Linked DNA regions of Caenorhabditis elegans. The protein of the gene in region 2 purifies or fractionates together with the protein of the main gene of each other region. This does not show direct contact. Each region holds a gene or a part of one and is shown on either strand. Other genes may lie near its edges.

The links.
Region 1: the proteins of B0198.3 (region 2) and gtnt-40 fractionate together in Caenorhabditis elegans (co-fractionation; one large-scale study listed by BioGRID). This does not show direct contact.

What each region holds. Positions count from the first base shown.
Region 1 is NC_003283.11:7,749,535-7,758,076, reverse strand, and holds gtnt-40 (Glycosyltransferase family 92 protein), read left to right. Parts: upstream 1-3,419; 5' UTR 3,420-3,907; intron 3,908-4,259; coding exon 4,260-4,544; intron 4,545-4,724; coding exon 4,725-4,810; intron 4,811-4,856; coding exon 4,857-5,041; intron 5,042-5,103; coding exon 5,104-5,354; intron 5,355-5,520; coding exon 5,521-5,918; intron 5,919-5,967; coding exon 5,968-6,133; 3' UTR 6,134-6,310; downstream 6,311-8,542. Other genes in the region: fbxl-5 (F-box domain-containing protein), read right to left, coding at 6,884-7,123, 7,424-7,609, 7,935-8,073.
Region 2 is NC_003284.9:12,052,006-12,059,904, forward strand, and holds the start of B0198.3 (Protein kinase domain-containing protein), read right to left. Parts: upstream 5,069-7,899; 5' UTR 5,010-5,068; intron 1-5,009.

The DNA.
Region 1 (8,542 bases), on a different chromosome or scaffold from region 2:
GTAACTGGAGGCAAATAATTGGAACCAGTAACTGAACCACTAGGGCATAGAATAATTGCTTTTGTATTGATTTCATATTTTTCGAAATACTCGTATTCTTCGACAATTTCTTAATTTTCGTGTAAGATTTTCTTCCATAAAAAAATATGGAAAAGCAAGTGGAATTCTAAAATTTGGAAAAATACAAAAATAACTATGTAGCCTAAAATTAAAAATACCAAGATCATACTGACTCCAAGCATTCCGTAGATACATGTCCAGTTAATAATTTTCTGGTCTTGTCCATCAATCAGGTAAAATGCGGAGCCAAGTAAACTATATCTTCGGGGCTCAAGCCAAGCTCATTTTGTAAGCCGGATCTAAAAATTTCACAATTTACGAAGCCACTGGAAATAGGCATAAAAAGCCTATTTTTCAGACTGGTCTTCATTTTTTTGAAACTGGATACTAGTTTCCAATTGTTCAGTTCGTAGTTTGTTGGCTTCATAAAGTAGTTGGTCCCATAAAAATACGTGTAATTTTTCCAAAACTGCAAACCTGATAAATTCATCAACCTCGTTGCTCCTCCCAAATGTAAAATAACCGATTGATGCCCAAATAAGCCCACCCAACAAAACCATAAACGAATGCGTGAAAACTCTCCACTTTGTAAAATATGTTGAGTTAATGGTTCTAAAAAAATTAACTATTTAAAAGTGATTGAATTGAACAATTGAATTACTGGCTAATTACAGCGTATCTATATTTGAATAAAACCACAAAGATTACCAAAAAGGATCCGAATAACCCACAGTACGTTGCTGAAAAAATGAGTAAAACTGGAATTGCTCAGTAATTTATATCTAAAGGAGACAAAAATTCCTCGCCTATTCTTTCGCTGGTTTATTTTTTTGATTGTTTTATAGAAAAAGCCTGAACAAACTCGATCTACCATATTAAATTTATTTGTAAAAGTACGATTTACGGAGAAAGAACATGTGAAAGAATTGACGCGGAATCAATTATATTTTCAAAATTCTTTAGAACTTTGTTTTTGACTCACATATTAATACCAACATAATTTCTCTAGATAACCATTTGCATCTTATATCGGACAGAACTATGACTACAGTGTAAAATGAATGAACAATTGGGGAGGTAACAAATTCAATAACTGAATAAAATATTTCAAAGATTGAAGCTCCAATGAGCAAGTATTTGTATTCATTCATGCTTTTCGGAGATCTTAATACGACGAGAATGATCAGCAGCAAGTTCATAAATATCGATGAAATTGTGGAAATTTTGTGAAAAGTGGTTTGAATTAACCGGCATTCAATGCCATTCATTTTTGAGTAAACGAAATAATATCTGTTAGAACCAAAATTTTGTGTTGTAGACAATTAGATGATCTCATGGGATATGTATGTCATTATTGTTATTACATTCACATTAACCAACTGTTTTTGTGATATTAGGCAAACAGAAGTACAGGGTGCGCCAAAAGTATCATAACGCGACGACTTCCAAAAAAAAAAATGATAAAAACCGAGTTTTCACATCTTTTTTTTTGACTAGAAATAAAAAATTGCAAAAATCATTTAAAGAAGTTTTGTTATTACATTTGGCAATTTTAGCGCCACAGGAATGAATTTTAATCTCTCCCTCACTTGCCGTACTTTACATTTCGAATGGAGCATTGGAAAAAATACATCTTCTAATGAGGTGTAGGCGTCCGTTGCCTTCTGGCTATTCAAATTTCAGAAAATCGACAAAGGTCAGTAATTACCACCGGGAACTGTAAGATTTCTGAATATTTTTGAGTACATAATGTTTCATAACCACATGTATCTAGACATAGACTATTCTGCAATTAATCATTGAAACTTTAGGTAAAATGTGATAACACGAGCATCGTATACATATTTACAATGATAACAGCAGCTCTGATTAGACCTAGGTCTGCGCTCAGTTCAAATTGTTTCTATGTTGAGTTGCACTATTTGTTACTACTAATTCTAGAAAAATAAAGAATTTATTGAAAACTTGAAACTTTAAATGTGTAAATTCATTATGTTGCTTTTTTCCAAGCCTTCTTTTTTCATGACTCACATCTTAATATGGTTGTGTGAAGTGGCTTGGAAAAAAGCAACATTACTCAAATAAAATGTTTTTCAAAAATCGAGCTGTCCTTCCTTGTCTGAATGAAAAAAAACGGTTCACGCCACATACAAAAACACACTGGCCAGCTTTTATTATGTGGCTGCAGAGAAAGTCAAATTCACACAACCATATTAAGATGTGAGTCATGAAAAAAGAAAACATCTTCATATTGAACAATATCCTGGAAACTTTAAAAAGAACATTGTGTTGAAAATTTTCAGTTTCAGTCAAAGGTCTTCATGTTTAAGTTTCGAACGTTTGCTTGATTTAATCAAGTTTTCTAGCAAAGAGTAGTTCCTGCTTTTATCTGAAAATACCAGATTTATTTAGAACTAAAACAATGAAAAATCAATTCCAAATTTGCAGTGCAAAATACGTTGCTCCCATCAAAGCTTTATGGCGTCGTAAAAGCTTAAAATATACAAATGAACTCACCCTGATAACACTCAAGACACACCTTTCTGTTTCTGATGTATTTATTTTTACACACGTTCAAGCTAGTATCTGTTTTTTATTTTTTAAATTGTGTTCTTAATTTTGTTCTTAAAAGTTTGAAATGATGCCTGAAAAATTAGAAAATTATTATAGTTAATTTGAGGTGCAAACATGAGGTTTATGAGCAAAATCTATTGCATGTTGCCTTAAATTTATTTTTACCGAAAAATATAATCGGCTCAGGAAGACTCTTTGAAAATTGGTTCCCATGGATTAAAGCTCACTTTTATGAGTCGAGTTTTAAATTAATTTAATTATCGTCAATGTTTTAAAAATACTATAATTACTACAAAAGTTTGACTCTAAAAAGGTATTTTGCAGAAATATATTCTAGAAGAACTAACTAATTAATTTCTGAAGGATTTTCACAAAATTCAGACTACAAGTATTAAAAAAAAACAGAATTTAATGAAATATATATTTTGAACACTTCCTCAATCTTATACCTTCCCCGTTTTTTCTCCTTAGCAACTCCGAGCAAACCAGAGACATCACGAACGTTTCTTTATTTGCAAACTTTAACAATTCTTTGAAAATTGAAAAAAAACACACCTTTCACAGTTTTCTATATTAAAATAAAATGATCAAAACAAACAATTGGAATACTTTTGTACTCGATCATGTATAATCATCATCATGTATATTCATGTATATATTCATGTGCATATTTATATTCATGTATATTTATCAGATTTTACAAGAGTACCTCAAATTTTATGATTTATAAATGTTTGAATATTTGTGGCTACACACCCATATGATTGTCATTTCAGAAAGTTCTGAATCAAACTACATCAGTCATGGAAACTTTTGACGCAATCTCCAATAGTAGTCATATTTTCTGCATTTCTGTATTTTATTAAAAACTGATTCATTTTATTTTGACCACACCCTTTTTCTTATTAATTTTTTTCCAGAAAAGTTTTTGAGGTTTACTTAAAAAATGGTAGCTTCTATTTTACAAAAAAAAAGTCTAATCATTAATCAAAATTATATTTATACGCGTCAGTTTAATTCCAAATAAAATTTTGTAAATAAAACATTTTCAGACAAACATTTTGTTGCGACTTTGAGTTAGTCGAAAAAATTTCATTAATTCAAGAACAAAAGTGTAATCTCCATACTTTTTCGAATTTTTCTCTTCAAAAATGAGATTTCGCGTTTCAAACGTATTAACTCTCTGAAAATCTTGGAAAAAATCATACCCTTACATTACCACGCTCTCCAGAGGTCGAAAAAAAGGACACGCGGAGGTCATATGTGAGCAAAGGTAATTCAAATGCCAAAGTTTTCTGAGGCCATGTGGAATTTGATTTTTTTTCAAATTGATAATTTTTTGAAAATTTGTTCCCTTGTGGAAGTTTATTTTTTCTTCGTTTTTTTATAGCTTTTATCGTTAATTCTCTTTTAAAATTGAACTTTGTAAACTTTTGAAACATTTTTTCTGCAGCGAAAATATTTGTTTCACAGTGAAGATATTTTACTCTCAGTCCAGATCAAATAAAATAATTCTGGCATGTGCCAATATTTTCGTCGTAGGAAGGATGTAATTTTCATTTTTTCTCAAAAGTTCCATTTTTTAAACCTCAAAGTACCGCATAATTTAATTTGAAATCTTTCAGATGCAGAGGATATATCAATTCATACTAATAATCATTTTATTATTATTATTAGTCTTTGACATATTTACCAACAAGCCAGAATTATTTCCAAGTTCTCGAATTTCACCATGCTACACGGAATCGTCACCAACGAGCGGAAAACTGGAATCAAATGCTGAAAAATCAGAAAAATTAATAAATGTGCCATCAACACTGGATTTGTCAAACAAATCATATTTTATTGATGGATTCGATCGGTTTGACTGGTATCAATTTCAATTGTTTAGAAAAACAAATGACAGACCGGTAAGTTTTTTTTAAAATTTCGTGAAGATTCAGTTGTTTTTAAGATGGTTTTTTTAATCTTCTTAAAAACATCTGATTAAAAAAGGGTTACCAAAGCTCTACAATTTTAGCCAGCCCTTTCATATGCATAATATTTTTTTAATAATTTGTGTGAAACCTCAAAATTTTCACGTATTCCAGAAAACAGCCAGCAACATCAGCACGCTGTATGCATATGAATTTGAGCACGAAATTACTGTTACAACAACTTCTTGGAAACGTATGGGGTGAGATTTCAATTTTAGATCATATCTCACTATCAGATAATTCCAGACATCGCGTCTACTGTCGTTACCTTGATGATAACAATATCGAAATTGGAATCCCATTTGAAAGTCTCACGTATCCAGAGTATATTGTCAGCTGTAAAAAGAGAGACGGCACTAAGAAAATTGGGTTAAGTGTCGAAAAGAATGGAGACTTTTTTCCATTACCAATTATTGATAGAATGCTGAAAAGTGAGTTTTATCTACAATTTTTAACGATTTGAAAAAAAAAAAAAAAACTTTGTAAACTTTAGAACCAAAATACGAACTCTCCATGTGTGTTGCATCCATTTACGGCGATGAACCAAAATGGTTGATGTTTATCGAAATGATAGAGCATTTCAAGTTACAAGGTGTCCAACACTTTTACCTTCATATCCATCATGCTTCCGAATATGATATGAGAGTGATTAATGATTATGTGAGAACGGGAGAAGTTGAAGTACACTATCTTATCGAAAGGGATATGCGGGCTGATAACCATTGGCATATGGTTAATCTTGCGGTGAGTTTTTTTTTTCTGAAATGATAGAAGTTAGAAATAGTTGTGTCACATGCATAAGTATTGTGCCAAGTAATTTGTGATAGTAGATCTTGCATGCACACAGGAAGAAGATTCAAGAAAAAATATACCGATTACTTTCAATTTTTGATACTGTCCAATGTTTCAGGACTGCTTAATATGGTCCCGCGGAGAGACAAAATGGACCATCTTCGCTGATCTAGACGAACGAATCTACATGACAAACTATACGGGAACAATTTTGGATTACGTCCAGGTCGTCAAAAATGAAAGTATTGCGAGTATTCAATTCAGACAGCAATGGATAATGAAAACTGAACTGATGCCACCAAAATATGAAGGTGATCGACAGTTGGACAAATGGATGCCAACTCATCGATGGCATAGTTCGAGTGGAATTGGTCCACCGGGACATACTGCAAAATGTATTGTTGATACATCGAAAGTGTTCATCATGTTTATTCATTACGTAACACAATTTTTCCCTGCGACGAATGGTTCGAATTATGTGCAAATTCGTGTTGATCCGGAAGAAGGACTTGTTAGGTAAAGCACAATTGTAACTATTAACTTGTCCAAAAGTCTATTTTTTCAGACATTACCGTGATCTGTCTCTTGGAGATTGGGGACGAAAATGGCTGAATTCAACTCTGAAATTTGGTGCTCTACGAGACACTGACTATCCAAGTGCATTTCTTGGAAAACTGACGGAAAACGTGAAACGGAGAGCAAAATACGTTTATGACAATTACTATGATTGATGATTATGGATAATTTATTGTGCTAGATAAATAATTTTTTAGTATAGTTCCAATTGATCTCAAAACGTGTTTATTTTTTCACTTGTCGTGTTTTAATATCAAAGTTTACTGGTCTTCGTTAGCATTTCACTGATTGTGAAAACAGTTAATTTAAAATTATGTTTAATAAAAAATGATTCGAATAAATTTTACTATTTCAATTGAAAATTTCGAATTTTTGCGCAGAATATGCACGATAACATGGTATCTTTTAAAAAATGTTAAATTTTTATGTTCTTAACCAATTAATTGTAAAAAATTTTAAAGAATATTATTCAGCTTTCAATATTAAAAAATGTTGGGTTCCCTAACAATGACGCACACTGCAGTAGCTACAGTACTGTAGTTGTAAATTGAGATATAAAATCTTACTGTTAGATTTTAACATGCAATTTATAACTACTAGATCATAAAAATTTTTTGATGATGGCAGATTTGTCGTTGTTTCATGTGTTATGTATCTTGTTACTTGTGGGTTCCAATTTCCGGTGATACACTTTTTTGTAAAAGTTTGAACGAAATGTGCAAGACAAAGTGCAATTTGAAAAAATTTCATAGTTTTGAGTTCAATAAATAAATTCACTATCAAAAATTCAAAAAAGAAATAACGGAAATGTGACGGATAAAACCCGCGTAAAGCAAAATGGAAAGTGTCTGGAAATTTCAAAATAAAAAGAAAATTTGTTAACATAAAACAATTTTACAAAAAAATTAGGGTGATATCGCCACAGAGTGTGGACCAATTGGAAAAGGTGCTGGAATGAAAAATTGAAGGCAGAACTTGCCACGGCTTAGACTGATTTTTCGGGAACGAAAGTCGTCGGTCACCTTGAAATCAAGTCCCGGGCACAGGATAAAAGTGAGGAGTGAAGTTTCAGACTGTGATGGTTCTAGAAGAAGTCCGAAATCCAAGTCCATTTTGTTAGGCGTTGAAGCAGTCGAGAGTGCTCTCTGAAAACAGGAAAAATAATGAAAGGAATAATTAAAGACTATATTTAAGGAGTTTTTTCCCATAGCGATAAATTTCCCTACAAGAATTAATTCTGAAACACTAAAGTAAGCAACCTTTCAAACAAATTACGAAAACTTTTTCGGTGCGGAGGTTGACATTTTTGTGGCTACGTGTCAAGTTTAAAAAGTTAAAATCCTGGAAAAAAATAGCCATAAAGCTCCAAATTGGGGGCCAAACTTTCTCATTTTGTGTCCAAATAGAAATACTTCTCCCATTTCATATTACAATCTTAAACTTACAGTCATTAAATGCCTAATTCCATCCACTGTTATTCGACTTGCACACCCATTTCTGAACTGGATTGTGTTTGGCGCTGTTGTCCGTGTAGCCCAGTGAATTAGTGTTTGATCAGTAACTTCGTTGAGAAAACAAGGATATCTTGGTTGAATTTGAATTGTTTCCAAGTGAGTTAGAGACATCAGCACCTGAAAATTGTACAAATGATGGTGGGTTCATCATCACTCCAACTTCTTCAATCTAATATTGTTTAAAAATGTATCCATGAATATTTTTGGTTTTCGAACTATTGAGGTCTGCATGAGGTATGCAGGTAGGCAATTGAGATAACGTGATTGAAGGTTTATTAAATTCTTATGGACTAATTGAATATTATTATTACTTCTAAATATTTAATGAACAAAAATAATTAGTTAACAAATTAACTCTGAGTGTTCTTTCAAACGCGAGTGTTCCCAATTTCTAGGAAACTTTGTCAAAATCTGATCTTTTTTTTTGCAAAAAAATCCTTACCTTGTCAGAGATCAATGACGGATGAAATGTGCAGAAATCAATGTATAGATGCTTGATGGTCATTCGAGACAGCAAGTCCATGAATTGTGTCCATGAGAGTCGGATATGACACAGTGACAGCGCCAGCGTGGTGACATGTCTGTAACGATCAAGTTGGCTTGTTGACACGTGTCAAAAAGTCAAAAAAGTCAAAAATGTATATATAATATTTCAGTTTCTTTTTCCTCCCACTTCTCCTCTAGGCACACACTTTTCTTGTTTGACATTTTCGACATTTTGATGTGTGTCTGTGGGGTTGTCCAATAGAAATGAAGGGAGGCAGAGAAACGAAATAATGACAGTTTGGCTACCTTCTGACGGTTTACAGTAATACATTTGGGACAGTTTGGCATTTTTGAAGAGTCATCGGGTGATTTAGAAACTTTTTTTTGCAAGATATTATTACAAAAAGAGCTACATAATATATCCAACGACATAAGAAAAAATTGCAGCATAGTTGGAGCAAAAAAATGTGCCGTTAAAAATTATTTTACAAAACTACTGTACTTATTCGCAAGATGATCAGTGAAATTGGTCAGATATTGAACTATTCAATTTGAAGTTGTTTG
Region 2 (7,899 bases):
ATTATTTTGGGTTTTAAGAATGTCTGCTCATTTGTCAGAGTTTTGGTAATGAAGCAAGAACTACTAAAATATGCTAATGCTGAAAAGCTGCTAAAATAAAATATTAAACATTAAAAGCAAAGTGGTACATTTCACAAAAAAATAGTGTTGTGGATTTCTTCCGTAAGATGGCGAAAATTTGAGTGTACTTTGAAGACTTAGCCGAATCGAAAATATAGTAGCTGTATCCGGAAAAGGAAAACCTGACATCCACATAAATCAACAAGTATTCGGAAAGTCTAATAAGAGTGAAATGGTACAAGCCTTGCGACTCAATGTCACACCATTGTCCGACAAAAGGAGAGGCAAAAACAAATCATGCGGTGGGAGGGCGTTGGGCAAAAGTTTCTCTTTTTCCGACATGGTTAGTGTCGGAGGTCCTAATGAGAGAGGTGACGGAAGCCGACTGGTTTTGAGAAGAGCCCGTAATTATTGGCACTCCTTCTCCGGTCACAATTTCATCGTGGCGGCGTGGCGCGTCGACTCTTTCAGTGTAATTGTCTAGGTTTTGTGGGTTTAGTGTTAGAGCGCCGGAAATTGGAAAAAAAAGAGGGACTGATATTGATAGCTCTTTCAATAATTTCACACAGGAAGTATAGAAATATACAAATAAGGAAAATGGAAAATATGAAAGTCACTACGGAGAGGTCTTCATGAAAACGTAAGGCGGAGCTACAAGCCATCATTCTTCTTGTTTCTTCTAAACACGACGCGGGAAAGTAAGAAGGAGGGGGTCTACGTACACAAGCCGCTCCCATGGTGGAAAAAATGGGAGGAGACCCGTCTCGAGACTTCTGCAGACGGGACAGAGGAGAAGCGGTGGGAAAGGAGAGAATGGTTTGTTTCCGGAGAGATGAAACTATTTGGAGAAGAAGCATCATGCGGGGAACAGAAGGAGGATATTTGGTGTAAAATCAAATGGTCAAACCTCAAAACTATTAAAGATAGAAATTAAGTTTCAGTTAACGGTTTTGCTTTTTTGTTTCCCATAAAATGGTTGGAAAAATACTAAAAACAAATTAATCGAAATAAATGTATTATTTTCGCTAAATTTAATTAATTCCAGATTTAGGATGCAACACAGTTAAATTTAAACTTACTGCTACTATGATGTTTTAAAATCGATTCCAAAAGTTGTCACTGGTGTCATATCTAACCATTTATTTATTCAATTTTTCATAGTAATTTTCTTTGATATTATCAGCAAAAAACGTGAGTATTAGCCAATAATATTTGAAACAGAAAATGTAAGAAAACATTGAAAAGCCAAAAATTTGGGTCTTTCAATTTCTACTACCTGACACATATCGAAAATTCAGTTTTACGTGTGGTTTCTTTTAAAGATTTCTTGGAAAAAATAGCGTAGGAGGTTCTGAACACCTTTCGATGTTCGTTTCTCTTTTTTGAGTAGGTGTTGAGAAGAAGGAGGAGGAAGGCGACAAACTTTTTATGACATCTACACATGATATCTCTCAAAACGAACAAAAATGACTAAGTGGTCTAAAAATGGAAAAGAGGAGGAAGCAGTGCAAATGCATATATATCAATTGTTTGGTTAGACTGTGCTTACAAGTTTATTTTCTGGGGGAAGAGGACAGTTCTCACAATTCTCACAACACCTGCTGACACATCGTGTACAAGGACATTGGAACACTTCCAAGACTAAGTTTCAAAAGAGTTAAGCTTCAAAATGTTTATATACGACACCAACAATGTTCAATATATTGATGTGGGCTCACAAAAAAAGATGCCAGGGTGCAAATAAGAATTGGTGCACACCATTGAGGAGGTGTCACCAAATGATGGCCCGTCATAGCTGGGTGATTCATAGGTAAGGGTTTCTCTATTTGCATGCCATTTTTTGACACTTGGAAGATGTTTTGAGTCGACAGAGTTTGAAAGGTCATATTAAAAGCAAAGAGGTACATTTAATAATACATTGCTTCAAATTTTTTATATTGAAAAATTTTAAATTGGGAAAAACGCTTTACACTATTTTTAATTACTACAATAAAAAACTTCAAAAATGGCTCAGTAGCTTTCAAAATTTAAAATGAAATATAATTTGACAACAAAAAATTTTAAGAATAGCGGCATACCAAAATAGCACGAAATGTGTGAAAATGCACATTTTGCTGAGCTCTCTCGCAAAAAACCCCTTGGCACGCGAGAATGTAAAGAACACCTCTGGGAGGGACGTATCACTAGAGAAAAAATCTCGAATTATGACATATGTATATCTACAATTCGCTGGTTCGAATTGAATAAGGCCGACCAGACTTGTCGGCACCCTTTTTGCCGCCTTTTTCGTGAAAAGAAGAACAAAGCCTATAAAAGTGCCCGTGAACGGTGAGAGGGAGGGGCGCGAACAGTGCGCGCGGGGATAAGAAGAGGGCAAAAAAAAAAACATATAGAGACACACTTATCCAATGCACAAAAAACGAATAAAGAGGTGGTTGGATGAGATGAAGGAAGACACCGTTAGAAAGGTATGGAAAGGATCCGATAACCATCGGAAGCACTTGGTGCCGATATCAAAGTGAACGGAAATGCCGACAGACAGGTAGGCAAACGAACTGTTTTGTACGTCTTAATGAGAGGTAAAAAGGATTGAAATTCGTGACATTTATTTTAAAACTACTTTGGTTCATAGATCTGACTAACACCATAAAATAACAGCTCAGCTTTGAAGTTGTCCGACTCACATATTCAGTAACTGTGTGGACCATTTGCAGCCACCCAGGACAATTTATTTTTTCGGGACAAAGATACAACGGTATCGGAAATCGAAACGCAACTTGAAATGAAATAAATAATTCGTTCATTACTCAACATTTTATAAGTATTTTATATTTGTAAGCTTAGAAATGGTCCTCACGTTTTTATTTTTCAACATTTTTGTAATTTCAATTTTCCGTTCCGAATTGCGTTTCGATTATACACACCAACCGATCAAACTTCAAACCACACATTGAAACTTTCACGTCACCCACAAAATGAAAGTAAAATAAGTAGTTATCCTAAAACCATAACACGACAGTATAGTCTTTCCTGTCAATTACACGTTAGCCGCTTTTGGTCTCCAAACATCCAAACAATCGGTCCTTTTTTCACAGCTAATTGCCGACAAAAACACAAAGACAGTGTGCCAAAACGCGAAACTCGAGACACTATGCAAAAAAGAAGATCCATTGACACGTGCGTAGGAGAGGGCAAATTGGTAAATATCCCATCAAGGTACAAGTACAAACAAGCTCTTTAGAGCCTTTGAGGACGGAGGGAGAGAGAAAGTATATGCCAACTTTCGCGAGTTGACACAATTAGATCAACTTGGATCAACTAACTGGGAGGGGGGGGGATAGAGATGAGGGTGTTCGAGTTGAAGTACTCGCTTAAATTGCCTGTTTTAATTCGAAATTTCTAAAGGGCAAATTATTGAAGCTTTCACAAAATGCTTTGAAAGAGTCTTGAAATTAAACATTTCAAAATAGAATCTCAGATTTGGTTGCATTTAAAGAATTAGATTTTTTGACCTTAAAACAGAAACAATTGATTGACCGGAATTTCACTATCGGCTTCGTGCCTGTTTTTAAAACTGTAGCAACTGTTTTCGAAATTTATGCGAAATCTAGAACTATTAGGTACGTGCTGGAATTATATTTCTAGAACAACGTTTTTCAAATACCTGTTTAACTGTGACAGTTTTACTACAATAATTCTAGTGAGTACAGAAGGGAAAAAACAACTTGTTCCGTACATTTGATCCCATGTTATAAAATTTTTTATGAAAGCCGTTCATGTCTTGATCGAAAATAAGTTTCAGCGTGTATAAAAAGCTATACTAACAGAGCAGCAAACACCTATATTTGTTCCTGGAAACTATTAACATTAAATATAATACTCTCCAAAATAAAAACCAACCGACTGGCGGATAATACATTTTTGAATAAAAGCTGCACCGGAAATAGTGAGCGCCTATCCTTCACTGACCAGTCTCGTCATTCTCCATAACACTAACGATATATACATGAAATCCGAGAAGGTGGCAAAAATAATGACCACTTTCTTTGGTTTTGGTTTTCTTTGATGACGAAAGAGAGAAGGACCGAAAAAGAAAGGTGTGTATGAAAATGTGGTCCCCTCCTCTGGTCTCCCAAAACCGCGCCTCTCTGACTTCGCATCGTAAATCAGGGTTCCGGAGGAAGACGACACCGTGTGGGGGGTGAAAGCAAAAGACAAGTAAATCAAAATCGCGAAGCCCAAACGACACGTGTCATTTGACATCGGTCATGTCGAAAAGGAGGGTCGCTTTCCGTTTCGGTTCAACCCGTGCAACACCCACTATTCTCACGGAATTGCAATTTTGAAAGCGATTCAATCGAAATGGGAATACTACATGTAAGCCGTGCCGAGAGAGCAGATGCATCCATTCAAAAAAGGTTCAAAAATTGTGTTTCATAAAAGGCGCTTTTTTGGAAGGCGCTGGTTCTTTTGTATGCACAAGTTCCTCCCTCAGTCATCGTTCTTCTTGTTCAATACTGGTTCCTGTTAGTTATCACCGTTTCCGATTTAAATATTTGCAATATTCTATCTTATACAGTTCTCTGTAGACTAAAATCGACTCCTAGAATTATGGTAGCTATGATTTGTTTTTAGTTTTCTCTTGTTAAAAAACCCGCTGACAAATGTCAAAATATTGTTAAATTACCTAGCAATCAATTTTACTTTCTTATTATTTTCCCCGTTACGTTCCCACTTTTAAATCTCTAAGCTTTCTGCCTCCCCTTATTTCCCACATCTGCACTTCATAGCTCAATTTGTCATCGGCTTATGGTAATTTCTGCCGAAGGCCGATGAAAAGAGGCATTGTCAGGTTCTCGGGTCTTGTATGATATGAAATCCTGAGTGACAACACTTGTAATCCTATTTGTAGCGCCTGTCTCCTGTCCTCACTACGTCTGGCGACTCACCTTGTCACGACGATTGATGTGTGCAGTGACCAATCCGCTCCGTGATCCTTGCGTGCCACTGTAATTGGATTAATTTGTATTTTTTGGGGAAAATAAAAACTTGAAAGCGGGAAGAAAGAAGAAACAAATGTAAATACACAAGGTGTTGTGGGAAACATATTTTGTAGCAAAACTAGGAATGATAGCTAGGATAGAATGTGGGGGTGAAAAGTTGACAAATAGTTGACGAAAATGCGTCTGCAAACAATGCCACAAAAACAAAAGAGAGTTTTATCATTTGCAGGAAAATTGAATTTGAGGATAAAATGACGAATTTTAAACGCGTGAGAATTGACAACAAGATCTGAAACAGCCGGTTAATTAATAACCATCCCAAAAGTGATAGTTCAAAAACATGAAAATGAAATAGTCTTGAAAAAAACCAACAAAGCGAAAAGTTCTTAGTAAGTTTTGGTTGAGTTTCACTATATGCATGTACTCAAATATCTGTCGGAAATTTAAAAAATTTAATAGTAATACACTAAGATTTTTATAATTTTGTTCTATTTGTTAGAAAGAAGTCTTACAAAACGAAAACGAAAAAAAACTGATCACAATGACTCTATCGGAACCGAAGTGCAACAGCGAGGAACAAATTGAATTTTTCATGTTTTCGAATAGATCAGTATTTGAAAAATATGTGTAAAAAAATTCAGGACATACTTAAATTTATTGAATCAAAAGTACAATTTTGCCAAAACTGAGGAGAAGCCAAATCCCATGTACAGTATTCATGTCAGTCTGCCCAATTATACCCTTGAAACCGATGTCCTGCTGAGTCTGCCAAACTGGAAGAAAAGGAAAAGTGGCAAATTGTAGATACAGATGACAATAATTTTTTTTTACTCATTTTCCGCTTTTTCCAGGATTGTTGAATGGTCAAGCGGTTTGGTTTACTAGAAGTTTCATGTAGAGAAAATAAGTTGTTTGTGACATAAATTTGGAAAGTAGCAGTATGTTGCCCGCTGGTTCAAAACAGTCCTAATAGCTTGCAATTTGTCATGAGCGTTAGCGAAAGGACGGGACAGTGTAAAAGAGAGCTTTGAAACAATGCCACGATATCGGGACAAGGGCACAACAAGGAGAGACAGAAAGGAATCCGAAAATTGATGGCCAAGTCATGGATGATACTTGTAATTAAGTGAAATTCGCTTTAACGCGGATGACGGGATGACAGAAAAAACAGATTTACAGTTTCAATGAGAACATTCAGTTTTAGTTTGAAACATTATTCATGTTTGTTACGCATAAATGTGAACATTATCTTGTAAATTTAGTCAGTGTTCCATTCACATTTTTTTGTGAGAAGAACAATGAAAGCAAGTATAAAAACTACCAAAATATGGGCGGGGCTTATTATTGATTTTCATTGGCTTGTTGATTTTAATTATTCAAAGTGTTTTGTGTCTTTCAAATTTGTTTGAATATGGGTACTGTTCAGACTATTAAACAATTTATTTTAAGCCCAAAAGAATGATCCGCCATTATATGGTTCAGTAAAAAAAACAGTTTTAATTCTAAAACAACATGTTTTACTAAATGCATATACGGAATGAGCACGTTCTAGATTAATTTTCGGGTTTACCATGAAAATTCTAGCATTTTTCCAGCTTCTGAATCAATATAACCAAGCAAAACAAGAAGAACAAACTGATTAGAAATATATGTACCAATATAAAGAAAAATTTCAGTTTAAATATTGTTTTTATGGCCTACGTCTCCCATCTATTCAATGATTCATACAAATTTCCATTACAGGAAACAACATAGACTCTTGTGAAAAAATTGCAAATCATTTCGATATATTGAGGATCAAATTCTTGTGAATGAATACTATGCACGTAGCTTATTTTCAAGACAAACAAATAAGAAATAGATTATATCTTGAATGTAATTTTTGAACTAAACACAATTAACTTTATGATCATACAAAAAAGCTAGTAATAGCACATTGTAAAACATCAATTTGTGGAAAACTGTGTCACTGTGCCAATAATAGTGTAATATATTGTAATATGTATGTTTTATATACACTGATTGTATGAGAGCCAATAGAAAAGCTGACTTGTCTAATCAATAAGTGTTAGGGTTAGTTCAGTTGCTTATAAGCTCCTAACCTATACAAACATTTTCTGATTAATCTCAAGTTGTTTAAAACATTTGTTTCGCATTTTTCATTGCTGGAAAAAAGCAAGAACTTGAAATCAAAAATCTAGTTTGAAATATGTGGGGTTTTCTGAATAAAGAATAACTTAAACAGGTACTCGGTAAACCGTGGAGATCAAAACCTTATAACTGAGTAAAACTTCAGGTATTATGTTTGTTTTAGGATTACACTGTTTCTCATCAGGCAGAAAACTGAACTTGAATTGCCCTCCTCGCTCATACATTCTCATGCTTATTTCACTTATACTGGCAACCAATTAAAATGAATATACGTTTTCATCTTCATCATACCTCATCTCTCCGATATTACGACACAACCCTATGCATTTCAACACAAGCCTACCGTGTTGGAGGGTGGAAACTTGGAAGAGACAAAAAAAAATGCACGAAGCGTTTCGATTTTCTTTGGCGGTAATCGGTGACCATAATTTGATCTGATCACATCACACTAACATTGCTTGGGGCCTTATGTCATTTTATTATATTCACATACAAGGGGACGTCTTCACTGTTTGATTGAGGCAAAGTTAAGGAAAAGTGTTCGCGGAAAAGGTGTGGCGACTTTTTGAATTCAGAAATGTGTTGGTCAAAACCACAAAAGAAGTGGAAAACGAATAGTGTACAGCTTCTGAGAACGCAAGCAACAGCTGATCATCGTGGCTCACTGTAACAGCGCACTTCAAAT